Tribolium castaneum: one gene and its partner. The protein of the gene in region 2 interacts with the protein of the main gene of each other region in a pairwise test. Links are inferred from orthologs where the notes say so. Each region holds a gene or a part of one and is shown on either strand. Other genes may lie near its edges.

Region 1 (6,923 bases), on a different chromosome or scaffold from region 2:
ATCCTCAATTTTGTCAATGCGCTTTTTAAAACCGTCCCCAAAACTGATCCGAAGAGGAAGAACCCCGTTTTTGTCATACACATCAAGTGTCCCTACTCCGACATTGATATCACTCTAGAACCAGCAAAGACGCTTGTGTTCTTCAGAAAAATTGATCTTGTGAAGCGATGTCTCCAAAAAATGATCAGTACATTCAAAGGGGGTGATTCCGAAATAGTGGCCAAGAAAACGCACAGGCCTTTGAGTGAGTTTGGCGTGTCCCAGATAGGAGGGGCTGTGAAAGGCTTCGGGACGAAGCGCAAAAGTGAGGATTTGGAAGAGTTGGTGTCGAATAAATCGGCGAAAATTGTCGAGGATACGCCCTATTTTGAGGAACCGAGGGTTGTGTCCAAGCAAACGAAGGTGGCTTTGCCCATTGAGGTGAAAAAGGGGGAGAAAAGGGAGAGCGAAGGTATAATGGATAATAGCCTCTATACCAATTACCCTGATAACGAAAAGAAGGGGAAAGACGTGATTATGGATATGTTTATAATGTCACTGGACGTGTTCCCGCCTGAAGATAAGGCTAATGAAACTGAACCCGAACTAAATAATGTAGTGGATATGGAAACTACTTTAGATAAATCACCAAATGAAAAAAATGCTCTTTCCCAAAAATCTCCGATTAAGGAGAATATGGTTTCAGTGGGTATTCAGGCAGGACCGGGGAACATACCGGTATTTGGGGTCACACCACGAAAAGCTATGTCTAAATATGTGTCTGACTATGATTTTGATTTTTCCAACGTCGAAGCTTTACCGACTTTTCATTTTAAAACGCCAGATTTGCCCACACATTTCAATCAGCCGAAGAAATTGTTCGATTTTCGTAATACAAGGCGTAGCAGTTTTAATATTTTTGCTAATGAAAACACGTTTGATCAAGTGAGGCAATCGCCGTATTTTGCTAAGAAGGCCAAAGCTAGCAAATTTGAGATTGATTCGAATAAAGAGAACTGGTCAAATGACTTGGATAATACAGTTGATTTTAAGTTTATTAAAAAAGACAATACGAAAAGAATTTTGAACGAATCACATACTAGTAAATACTTCACGCCTCAAAAATCTAAGAGTTGTAAATTAAGGGTTCAAACCCCGAAACACACCCTTTTGGAAGAGTCGCGAGATTTATTTGATAAGTCATCCGAAAGTGGGCTTTTAATAACCCTGGATGAGGAAATTGAGAAAAACAAAACTGAGGATATTGTCATAGCCCCCACATTTACGCAACATCAGAACCTTTGGTTAAGGAAAACTGGCAACGACATTACTTTTGAAATGACCGAACGCTTTGACTTTGTCCCCAAAGGCCTGTCTCCGATTTTGAAAGATTGTGGCAAAGTGGACGACATGAGCCCCAAATCGAGGCAACAGCTACAAAATGCGCTCGTACAATCGTACGAAGACGAGTTGTTGATGGTTAAGTGGCAGAAGTGTCTTGATGATGGGGGTAATTGTTTACGAAACGTTGCCTTGTCACATGAACGTGTTACAGATCCGAAGAAATTCTTCGATGAAATTTATGTGGAAAAGTCGAGATTAATCGAAAGTGAGGTTCCTAATGCGTACAATAGACATGTCAAGGATTTTGAAAATATAAGCTTCACGAAGGATTTATTCAAAAATGTTGATATTATCGGCCAGGTTGATTGCAAATTTATTGCAGTGTGGGAACGGACGAGGAATTTGGTTGTGTTGTTTGACCAACATGCTGTGCACGAGAGGGTGCGTTTGGAGGAGCTATCGGAAGGTCGTGTCACACTTGTGTAAAAACTTCAACTGAGATAATTACAGGTTACAAAAACGCATCCACGAAACTTGACCAAGACATTACAATTTTTTTGCCACAAAGTGACTTAACGCTCCTCAAGCGACAAAAAACTAATCTCAAGTCGCTAGGTCTCGTTTTGGAGTTTTTCACCAACGGGTTGACCATTTATCAAGTGCCGCTGTGTCTTTACAACAAGTCGAAAAAAGGGGTACATTTGGTTGCACTTGTTGTAGTAATTGTCACAGTTTTGTAGGTCGATATTGTGTTTTTGACTCAGACTTTGATCAAAGAAATTGTTGATCTTTTGAAAACTAACAACGAAATTATGGTAAATACTCCGAGTCTTATACAAAATATCGTCAATTCCGAGGCTTGCAGAGGTTTGCCGATTGACAAATTAATTTTAGTGTAAAACTATTTTTAGGTGCAATTAAATTCGGAGATTCTTTGACCAAAAACGAGTGTTTTGCACATTTGAAAAATTTGGCAAAGTGCAAGTTGCCGTTTCAATGCGCTCACGGAAGACCGACACTCACTCCCTTAATTTTCCTCAATCGATTCTATGATGAAGAGGTCGCAAAACCAAATTTGCACAATTTAAGAGAAAATTGATTTTTGTTATTTAATTATGTATTAATTAAAAATATATTTTGGTAAATAATAATAGATACAGTGCAATAGTGTGACTAGTGAACATGCAGTTAATAAATAATTACAGTATTTCATATTTGTTCAGCACCAAGTTCCAAAAAATGGGTTAATTTATTTAGCTATCTCTCGTCAATTGTTGCTGTTTGTATGTCTCCTTCAACATTTTTAAATTCTCCTGAAGCGAGGCCACTTCTTCAAATCGTTGCGCTTTCCGTGCTTGGTCAATATAATTCCGCACAATATTCATTTGCTCAATTAGCGGGTCCTCAGTTTCGGTATTTTCATTACTCACAGCTGCAGGTGACCAACCTGTGGTCACTGTCACTCTTTTTATGTTCGTTTTGACTGCCAATTGATTCTCCTCTTCAGTGTTCCTCAGAGAGCGTTCGCGTTTAATTCTCTCGAGTTCTTGGACAGAAGGGGGCGCTGGTAGTGTTAATAAATAGTCTTTAATGTAATGAGAAGTCCCCCGTCTTATACTATTTTGTAGTAGTTCGACTTTAGGCGTTTCTTCGTCCACAGGCAAGGATGCGATTTTTTTACTCAAAATATCAATTGATTCGGCTTTTTTGGCAATTGAAGCCCTTAAAGATTGAGTGTCTTGCAGTTGAAACGTGGTCTCACCGGACGTTAGGGAATTGTACATTTTTAAATACAAATCAACGGAGCTCTGAGTTTGGGATTTGAGGTTTTGTAGGTGGTTGTACAATTGGCAAATTATTGGTTGTCTCATTTGTTCGAGTTGCACGCGTCTGCGACTCTCGAGCATGTCGAGGCAATGGTTGCAAATACGGAGGCTGTCTGGTTCCTTACCTTGGACTTGCTCCCGGTTGTTTACGTCCACGTTGTGAACGGGGGCAACTATCGCTTCTGGAATGAAAAATTATACTGTATCTTGGTGTTTAAAAAATGACTTACGAGCCGTCTCATATGGCAAAAAATAGGAACACGCGTTGCACATAATGCTTCCACATAACCTACAATGGTGCTGTCTCCTTGTAATATTAAAACTAGACGCACATGAAGGACAGCGTGTCACTGTGGAACCATCCAACCAAGCCACCAACTCCTGCTCTTGCTGTTTACGATCCGACCCATAGAACCTCAACAACCTATCCAACCTAATAATAAGTTTATTAGTTTCGGTGGTTCGATGATCGAGTCGTTCTCTACGAACGGCTTTGAAATAATCAGTGTGACTCCGGATCTGACCGGGTTCTTGCGGCTCACTTATCTCTAAATAATACTTTTCTAAGGTGATTTCATTTTTGAAAACTTCCAAGTCTTGTTCGTCAAGTTTTAATATCTTTTTCTTGGCTTTGCCGTACAAATCTGTGAAAATTGAACGTTTAAGTGTTGAGAACAGCTGACATAACCTCACCTTTGATGGATTTTAGGATGTCTTGTTCTTCGGAATGTAAGTCTTGGAAGTGGGCAATCAGATTGTTCGGGGAACGCAAGTCTTTGTGGCAAATGGGGCACAAGAAGCCCTCTTTTATCAAATTTGCTTCAGCCATTATCGCTTTACAAACATGTCAAACTGACGTTTAATTGACATTTGACAACGTAATACGAGTGATTGAAAATGACTGTTTGGGTTGGCAACCTTGGATTTTGTTGACTGACTTCTGCTGACTGTCATTTTTTTTGTTGACGGAAATAAAAGGCGCGCGATTATCTCATGTATTTATTTACAAATTAATTTTTTAATGTAACATTATTTACAGATAACTTGCTGTTTTATTTCTTATCAAATACAGTTTTATAAATTCATTGCAATAAATTATGTGATACAGAGCTCTGTAAAAATATCATACATTCGAATGCACAGTAGTAAATCTAAAATTAATAACACCTACAAATTAGCGACAAAGTTAGATTTTCCATAACAAATTGTACAATCAAATGTTACATTAGATATATAATTTTACAATATGGTACAGTGTATTAGTAAAAAACTGCTTCACGCATACCCCGACAATAACAACATCAACAAAACATCTAATGATACAACTGTAAAGCCGGAAAAAAATACCACTCAGTATTTTTTCTCCAACTGTACGTAAAACAAGGAATATTGAGACTGGCCAACAAAAACCATGTGAAAACTTCGATGACTCTCGAGTGAGATCAACGCAAAGTGGCGATATGTGTTGAAATTTTGATTTTGATTAAATTGAGATTCGTTCTGGCCACTTATTGTGATGATGAAAAACCAAAAAAGTGATTGTTCGTTTTGTTCGTTCCTTTATCGTCCTGAAATTGTAGCCATGATGGTGGTGGTTACTAGGGTGGTGGTCTGCACAGCCGCCGAATCAGTCCTTGGTGGTGGTAAAGGAGGAAAGAGGTGAGAAGGGGTGTGAGAGCGTTTAGGGGCGGAAGCGGCGACGGCTAGTTGTGGGGGTGTTAGGGACTGGCGGGAAGGCTCTCGTCGCTTTCGAGGTAGGTAACGTAACTATCGGTGCTGTCGGGATGCGTCATGACGTCAGACGGCGGCGCTGATGAGGGCAGCATACCCGGGGGTGGGCCGGTGGCGGGGCCCATCGACGGGGGCGGCAGGTCGTACCCATGCATCTGTTGGACAAAAATTATTAGCAATATTACAAATTACGAAGAGAAAAACTTCTTTCATTAAAAGAAAAACGTTAAAAATTATCATAAATGATTGGAATCCTGACTTTCTTCAATTTATTTTCATTCGACTAGTTTCGCCTGTTACGGCATTATCAATAACGGCACAAAAACACAAACATAAAAAATTAAAACTTTGTTTTCCATACTTAATAGGTATCTCTTGACTCACTGGACGATGAAATAATAGTTCCGAGAGTTGTAATGTTTCAAAAAAATTTCAAATAAAGCGGAAAATAACATTTTGTAAAAATTTTCTTTACGTATAACAGCTTTAGCAAATATTTCCTTTGTCTCCTTCGTGCTGGACAATGGCTTGTAAGTAAATTTTAATAAATAAGTATTTAAATAGTTTGCAGTTTCTTCTTTTTTTTTCTTCGACTTATTTCTCCTACGAGTATCCGTTATTTTATTGAAAAAATGACATTCTCATATAAAATTTCTCTTTCTCAAGTGCATTTTTTTTCATAGCTACATTTCTAGATATTATTGAATAGAATAAACACTTCATTTTTGCACGAGAAGCGAAATAACACGGTATAATCTAGTTATAGAAAAATGAAACATTAATTAATTAAGCAAATTTTAAGACCGTCGCACCGCATGTAAGAATTGTCAGCCAAACAACCAACTAAGTAGTACCTATATGACGGCTTTATTAGGTATTGCAGCTGAAAATAAAAAATATTTTGTTGACTGAAAGCTATTGCCTAAAATAATAATTTTATGGATTATTGAATAGGTACCTACCTATTATGTCTAAATCACAGCAATTTATTTTACAGATATTTATATTACCTATGCATGAAATAATGTTTTCTCTTGTCTTAATTTTTTACTGTTATGCCTTAAATTAGGCGAAGCAAACAAGCAGTGATTAATTTAATAACCGATGCAAAATTTTCCTTCTGATGTAATAATAAAATAAAGTATGTGGCGATGGGGGAATTTGCTTATTACCTGGTTGACGAGCTGCTGGAAGGCCGGCTGATGGGGTTGCTCTAAGTCTGCATGAAGGGCGAAATCTGATAGGGCTTTCCATGGTGGTTGGTAAGCTTGTACTTCAAGGGGATGGACACCGATGGGTGAATCGTGTCGTACAGGTGATGACGCTACCATTGGGATACCCTGCATGGCACCGTAACCCAATTTTCGCCCATCCTGCACGTAATACTGGGTTATGTTAGACATTAAACGGGAAACATAAAAAAGTACAATTTTACAACGGTACAAACAACAACCAGAGCATTAAATATTTGTTAATTTAACTGGAATTATTCTTCAACCGCCATCCGTTTTCTCATACCACCCATAAATAACATGCCGAGACAACAAGGGGCATGCAATGAGAAGTCATCTTCTCCAAGGTTAAAAAACTAGTTTGAGTCATGTTTGCGATTTAAATGTTGGGCCAGTGAGTGCCAACCGAAAGACACGACCCCCTCTATATCCCTCAGAAAAAAGCGAAATCGACCGGTTGAGCTCATGTGTGACGCAGACGATTGGTTGACGACGAGAGGCGGGGACACGCTCAGCTGATAAGAAACGCCTCCTGAGATTTACGACGTGAACGACCTGAGAGGTGGGGGGTATTCAATTATAGACTGGGCAATCTGTTGGGATGCTACGCCACTAATCAATAATAACACGGTTGTGTGTACGGCTGTGCGACACATTGACTTGCCCCAATGGGATTGTAAAAACAAGAAACTTTCTTTTTCGACTCATTTTTAATACACTTGTGGAAAAATAAACCACGACTCTTTGGTAAAGGTACTATTTTTAGGGAGTTACGATTAGTACTCCGCGCTAAAAGTTGTAGTACAGTGAG
Region 2 (7,191 bases):
GATTACAAAGTGTTATCAAACAGTTGTCTAATTAAAGATTATAAGTAATGGATCACAGCGGACACAAAGTTTGGCTCAAGATACCAATAAATTAGTGAAGTGCTATGAATTTTAGGTTAGAATTTTTCAATGAAAAAATCATGAAATGCTGCGGTAAATCTACAAAACTACAATAAAGATTAACAACTGCTGATACATTTAAACGTAAATTATGCCAAAAGGTAGGCTTTTCAATGTCTTTGTAATAATTTTCCAATAAAGAAAGTGAACCAAACAGTCATTCGTTATTCGTGTTTTCCTCGTCATCGCTCATTTGTCAACATAAGTTTCTTGCATCAAAGATGCAATAACCCCATTCCGCATAGGCAATGTAATAATTGTGAAGCCCCAAAATTCGTACAACGCTCAAAATATCCGAATAAACATTTTCCCGCCATTTATGGTTACTGTTTTCGACCTAGCTCAGTGGCGCCTCCAACGGTAATTTTACTTCCGAATAGTCGCACTCAAGTCAACGTTTACTGACTTTACATACTTTATATTCTTCTTCATACATGTAATTTTTTTCAGAATTTTTCTTAAATAATTATAATTAATATTAATTAATTAAGAATATAATATCAAAAAAATAAAATAAAAAATATGAAAATACTAATTAATCGAAATTTTACCAAATAATTTTGTTAAATAAGATTGATAAAATTGTAAAATAGTTATTAATGATTAGATCTCTCATTGAAAGTATAAATTACATTAGCTGTTATTATTTTGAAGTGCACTGAATAATTTATAACAGCTAATTTTGAGAGAAAATGCGACGTTGGCGTTTTTATAGTTTTGAAATAGCTAATAGGTGACTATGAGTAGAACTTATACACAATTTTTTTTCGTTATCGAGGTAAAAATAATAGATTATTAAAAATGCCATTAGTTTAATTTGATTAGTCAGATTTGTTACGTTACAAATATTGATTACAAATGATTCAAGTTGCTTGGACATAGATAAACTTACAAGTACTGACAATTAATTCCTGACTATGACTGTGTTCATTACCGTCGAATGTGTGTGACCATACAAAAAAGGTTTTCTGGACTTGTGGAATCTTTCTAGTGACTCAGAATTTGTTTAGCAGGTTATATATCGGGTCCATCCTGTACTTTTAATTAATAAAAAAGGATTGGATTTAAAACTGAACTTTGGGGCACACCTTAAGTTATGTGCGCTAAATAAGATTTTTGCTTCTTACAACTTAATACCGATCTTGGAAGTAGAAAGAGAATAACAAAACTGCATTTTCATCGAATTCATAAAAAGCTAACTTTTTGCAAAATCTAATGAAATTACTGTAATGCTTGCAAGTCTGTCACCGGCTTATTTACTAAATTACCTAACATAAAAACCTGACTGGTTGTCACACAGAATGTTTTCTGAACTTTGTTTATGAATAAATTTTTCGAAAACTTTTGACAGAGTTGGTAAACTGGTACTCACCCAATGTCTTTTCCTTGCTGAAGCCTTGTCCAAATCCCATTAGGACCTCTATAATCTGGAATTTTAGCTGCAGTACTGATTCCAGCTCCAGTGTAAACTACCAGATGTTGTGCCTGTGCTATAGCTTGTGCAAGGATTAGACATTTTTCTTTCAACACTTCTGGAGGTTCCTCAAATTCCTCTAATCTTCGTTTGGCTACGTCTCGCTTACGCCACCGCATCTGGACCTCTTCGACTACTTCAGAGCATTCATTTAATACCTGAGCTTCTTCAAAAGTTCGATCAGTCTCCGATTTCTGGAGGATAACAGAAACCTACAACGAAGAATATATTAACAGCCCGCTCGATTTACAAGCAATAAACCTTTTTCAGTGATGCGTTTCTCTCATCTTTGGCACAGAACCTCTTTGATTGCACTACTTGTCTTCTAGGTAGTCTACATCGTTTCATCATTCGTTCTTCAACGTCCATACCAACATTCTCGAGACTCTCCACAACATTTACTTCGTTTTCCATTTTAATTAACTGTATTATTAGTGTTTTTGTTGCAACATTTTACATAAACAAACTGCCAGCCCCTCACGTCCATTTTCACCTGTTTGACAATTGTTGTATTGGCATTATTGGCAATGCTGATGGCCCTAGAATAACACTAAAAACACCCGCGAAATTCAAACACACTCAAAATGCTTTATTATCCTTTTATTAGATAATCAATTATTATTTATTACATAACAACATAAATAAATAAAATATACAATTCTCATAAGTCTGTACCGAAATTAGTCAAATCTAACATTACGGATATTTCTGGTATGTTTTCTGGGTAGATTTCTCGTAGCTTGTTCAACTTCAGCTAAAAAGCTCGTAGAATTATGGATTGTTGTGCCTCCAAGAGCAATATTAAAGCTCGGATTACTTTTGTTGAAGGAATGTACAGTTAAAGACTCCTCGTAGGTTGTGCCTCCGACCATAAAAATGATGATGTCTTGAGGTCTCCCGTTGAGAAAATGATTTCCAACGTAGGGATAAAGGCTGTCTTTCAATCGTCCCTTAACCAATTCTTCAAGGGTTTCATGGATTAAAGGTTTATGTTGCGTGTATACATTATCAACTCCACTTAATCCCTTAAAGAACCGCTTCGTGCTTTGAAGGGCGTTTTCCACGTTGAGAAAATCACTTTGTCTAGCGTGTGAACCCGCATATTCCAATATATTGACAATATTCTTAATAAGACGTTCGGAAACTCCTCTCTTTTTTAGCAATTCAATAAGTCCCACCACGTCATTGTTGCTGTGATTTTGATAGCGTAACGCATAAAGCATCACTAATTTTGCAATATCTGTATTTCTAACTTTATCATTGTTTATTAGCTTCTTGATGCTTTGCAAATGTGATGAGTGGTCATTATGTGAGGAAATCTCCTGCTCAATTTCAGACACATCAAGTAGGTGGTATTTATTGACCATTGAACTTAACTCACCAACGACTGTCACATGTTTAGTAACGTTTCCTGAGAGTTTCTTAAATTGTGGATAAGCTTCAACAAAATTCTTCATATCCGCGATACTTTCAATTTTTTGGTGGCTCTTGGCTTTGGCTTGGAACTGATCCATTAGTTGTTTGATATTCTGTCCAATTTCGCCGTAATTCAGAAAAATATTTTTGGCATAAAATGGGTCCTGTTCTGCTGATAAAACCACTTCAGATAATTCTTTACCGACTCCAGGGATTCCCGATAAGTTGACGCGATTATTATTGATTGTTAATAGTTCATGTACCATAGCTTGATATGTCCACTGGTTTAGGAGAGGAGTCATTGGGTCATCTCTTCGGTCCAAAATGAGCAACAAAGGGTGGCTGTTTTGGCCGAACGCAAACAATGACGATTCTTTATTCATAACTTCGTCAATTCGTGTTCCAAGGTCTTTGCAAAGCTTTGAATTGGCTTGATATCTGATTGCTGGACTCTTCTTCAATGAGAGGAGAACAGCAACAATTCCTTGAACTGTTCTTTGGAGAGCTGTAGGGTTCCAAGACAGACTGTTCATGCAAGTTGGTAAACCTATTGAAAACAGATGAGGGTTCACAGCTAAATAATCCATGTACAACTCCTGAACTTCCTTAACAACTTCTTGCTCATCATGTTCAGCTAAAATCTTGATGTCAGCTTTGGCCACAATGTTGCTGAAGTAGATGTAGTAAGCGCCGTACTTGGGATAACGCAATTCATTACACAATAACCCAATGTTTTCCTGCGTGGGGCGGAGGAAGACTAAACATTTTAGATAGCGCAGCCCCAACGAATTGCTCTGGTTTGGTGAATCCAATCTCTCGAGCAGGAAAACCTCTTTTTGCTGAATTTCAGACTGGCCGTAAACCATACTGATGACACTGGTTGTCTCCTTGTCCATTAATAAGATTTTCATTCCGGGTTCGCTCTCTTCGGTCATTTTGGTGACATATGCCTTTACTGCTGCTATTAGGTTCATCTTTAATAACTAACTCTTGGCATAACAATTAAATAACAGAAGTAGGTAAAAGCGGCTTTATCATCTTTCTTCAAATTGGAATCGATTTTCGAGACGTCAAACTAGAGACGTCAACGTTAGTAGAACTACAGTTTTGGTACAAACAATCTACTTTCTACGGTTGACTGGAGCTACGCCACCGTAGTTCATCTGTGTAAAAAAAAAATGTGAGGTTAATTCAGGTTATCTTATTTGAAAAGTAGCCGAGAAAATGATTTTGCGATTAATTTTGCGACAAAAAAGACATGTGAATTTTTGTTATTACTGCACACAAAATGAAAAGAAAAACAAGTACAGTAGTACAATATTTTTGCCAAAAACCAAATTTCCATTGAGGTTAGAGAACAAAAAATTGGTGGAACGTGACGAAAAAATTACTACTGCAAGTAATATTTTTATGTATCTGGTTCATTTGTGATTCAAACGTCTTTAGATTGCCGAATTTGATCAGTTGTACAAGTGGCAAAGAAGTTACTTATCGGAGCCTGAGTTTGTTTTACACGATGGACCCCCATACGCAAACGGAAAGCTGCACATGGGGCATGCTCTTAATAAAGTAATAGACCATTTTTACTTTTTAGGCTTAATTATATTTGAAATTTGCAGATTCTTAAAGATACAATTTTGAGATATCATATTTTAAAAGGGCACAAGGTCCACTATGTGCCAGGGTGGGATTGTCATGGGCTACCAATTGAATTAAAAGCACTATCAAAACCTGGCGCAGAAGCATTAGAAATTAGATCTAAAGGTAAATCAACTGTGTTACTACAAATTACCCACTTGTTCCGGATCTGGTGACGAACTGACAGTGACGTAAAAGACTTGAAATGCACCAACTTAGTTAAAATTATGAAATTAGTTGTCATTTTAACAATAATAAATAATATTAGCCAACACCAATGTCGTATCTTACCGTATTATTTTTCTTTTTAAGATGGATAGAATTGCAAAATAGTTATTAATGTTATTAATGATTAGATCTCTCATTGAAACTGTAAATTACATTAGCTATCAATTTTTTGAAGTACAACTGATTTGAAGAGAAAATTCGACGTTGGCATTTTTATAGTTTTGAAACAGCTAGTATATCAAATTTCAGTTCACAATAGAATTGCAACAGTGAATTTTTCTGAGTGAAAAATAAAGCACAAATAGAGAGTTTCTGTAAAGGAAACGAATTCTGTGTTAAACTAAATCCCAGCGACACGTTTTGAAAACCCACCAAAAACTGTCAATTTTTGCTTCATTTTTGGAACCCAAATTCAAATTTACTGACATGGGATATATATCCCATTTCATTTATATGTAGTAGAATTTTGCAACAGCGCATTTGAATTTTTTGGAGTGAAATGGAGCAATTCTACTATGAATTCTAATACATATAATAAATTTTGAGGACAAAGACACAGAAATATTACTGTTATTATTAATAATTTGTTCATTATGTTATTCTTCATCTTACGTATCTTATTATATTTTTTTAAAGACTAACAGTGGATTTGAAAGACATTGTATTACGACGCCTACGGGCAATTTCTTTTTCAATTGTAAACATATATTTAATGCAAAAATTCACTCATTTTTGACAATGTCAGTTTGCCACCAGATTTGGAATACGTTCTATCGAACTGCAAGTAAAAAAATGTGGTCAAGCGTGCTGTGAAAATTTTATGGAGATAACCAAGATAACGTCAGTACCTGTCAGTCATCTGGCAAATTTACAAATTTACGAATCATTTCATTTAAAACCAATCTTTTTTATACCTTTTCTAATTGTAGCTTAAAATGCGTCAGATAAATTTCAAAAAGTATCAACTGTTTGTGCTTATAATAAATTAAAAATTATGCTTTCTGATTTGCAAATGATACGTCTGATATACAATGGAAAAAGGTGTTGCACAAACAACAAATTCTGTTCGTGTATTCTGTATAATAATTTGTCCTTTGATTAAACATAATATACGCAGGACACGAAATTTTCACAACACTCTGGACCACGTTTTTATTACTTTACTCCCGATATAATTGTTTTGTGTTTAGCTAGGAGTTTTGCAAAAAACACTATAAAGGACCAAAAAACTATTTTTCAATCATGGGGAGTAATGGGTGATTGGAATAACCATTATGCCACTTATAATCCTGATTACGTTAAAATACAATTGAAATTATTTAACAAACTCTATCAAAAGAACCTCATTTATAGAGATTTTAAACCCATTTATTGGTCACCTTCATCAAGGTAGAAAATACTGAGTTATTTTCATTTTAAACGTACTATAAACAATTTCAGAACAGCTTTAGCTGAAGCTGAACTGGAATATAATGAACATCATACAAGCAAAAGTGTTTTCGTTAGATTAAAAGTAAACCAGTTTCCTAACAGAAGCAATGAGCAGTAAGTTACAAATTTAAGCCACAGCGGAGTAAAAATGTTTTAAAGGGTTTACGCCTTAGTTTGGACAACAACTCCATGGACATTACCGGCAAACCAAACAGTTTGTTATAATCCAACTTTACAGTATTGTTTAGTAAAAAATTCCAAAGACAATTGTCTTTATATTATAGCCTCCGATTTGCAAGCAAATCTGAGTGAAACTTTAAATACTGAACTAGAAAAAGTGGAAAACTTCTCGAGTGAAACTTTGTCACATTTAACATACGTTCACCCAATTTATAAAGACAGAAACATGAGATTTGTACCATCATCGCACGCTACGTCAAGTAAAGGCACAGGTCTGGTACATACAGCACCTGCTCACGGCCCTGAAGATTTTCTCGTAGCTCTGAATGAAAAAATGCAAATTGTAAGCACATTTTTTGAATTTTTCTCGATTTAATTGGAAATTTTAGGAAAATCTAGTGAATGATCTAGGGTGCTACAATACCAATGCTGGTAAAGAACTTGAGGGAAAGTTTGTGCTAGAAGACGGAACAGAAAAAGTTTTACAAATGATTAAAGAGGATATTGTTCATTTACACGATTATGTGCACAGTTACCCGTATGATTGGCGAACGAAAAAACCAGTCATTATCAGGGCTAGTCAGCAGTGGTTTCTGGATACAGATTCCATAAAAAATAGAGCAATTGTTGGTATCTACTACCTTGTATACTTCTTCTGAATTTATTCGTTTTAGGACTTGTTGGAAAATGTTGAAATTATTCCG

What was found.
Region 1: the proteins of Vps45 (region 2) and Rbsn-5 interact in a two-hybrid assay, tested with the Drosophila melanogaster proteins (2 studies listed by BioGRID). The link is inferred for Tribolium castaneum from reciprocal best matches to the Drosophila melanogaster genes Vps45 and Rbsn-5.

The regions. Positions count from the first base shown.
Region 1 is NC_087396.1:24,289,294-24,296,216, forward strand, and holds Rbsn-5 (rabenosyn-5), read right to left. Parts: upstream 4,033-6,923; 5' UTR 3,979-4,032; coding exon 3,843-3,978; intron 3,794-3,842; coding exon 3,380-3,793; intron 3,332-3,379; coding exon 2,577-3,331; 3' UTR 2,446-2,576; downstream 1-2,445. Other genes in the region: uncharacterized protein LOC103313509, read left to right, coding at 1-1,489, 1,535-1,789, 1,834-2,018, 2,064-2,190, 2,235-2,422; tup (tailup), read right to left, coding at 4,868-5,035, 6,053-6,265.
Region 2 is NC_087394.1:20,344,465-20,351,655, reverse strand, and holds Vps45 (vacuolar protein sorting-associated protein 45), read right to left. Parts: upstream 4,122-7,191; 5' UTR 3,985-4,121; coding exon 2,275-3,984; 3' UTR 2,180-2,274; downstream 1-2,179. Other genes in the region: Sirt7 (NAD-dependent protein deacetylase sirtuin-7), read right to left, coding at 1,493-1,806, 1,856-2,008; IleRS-m (isoleucine--tRNA ligase, mitochondrial), read left to right, coding at 4,235-4,405, 4,457-4,579, 4,630-4,774, 6,067-6,265, 6,317-6,421, 6,467-6,830, 6,877-7,113, 7,162-7,191.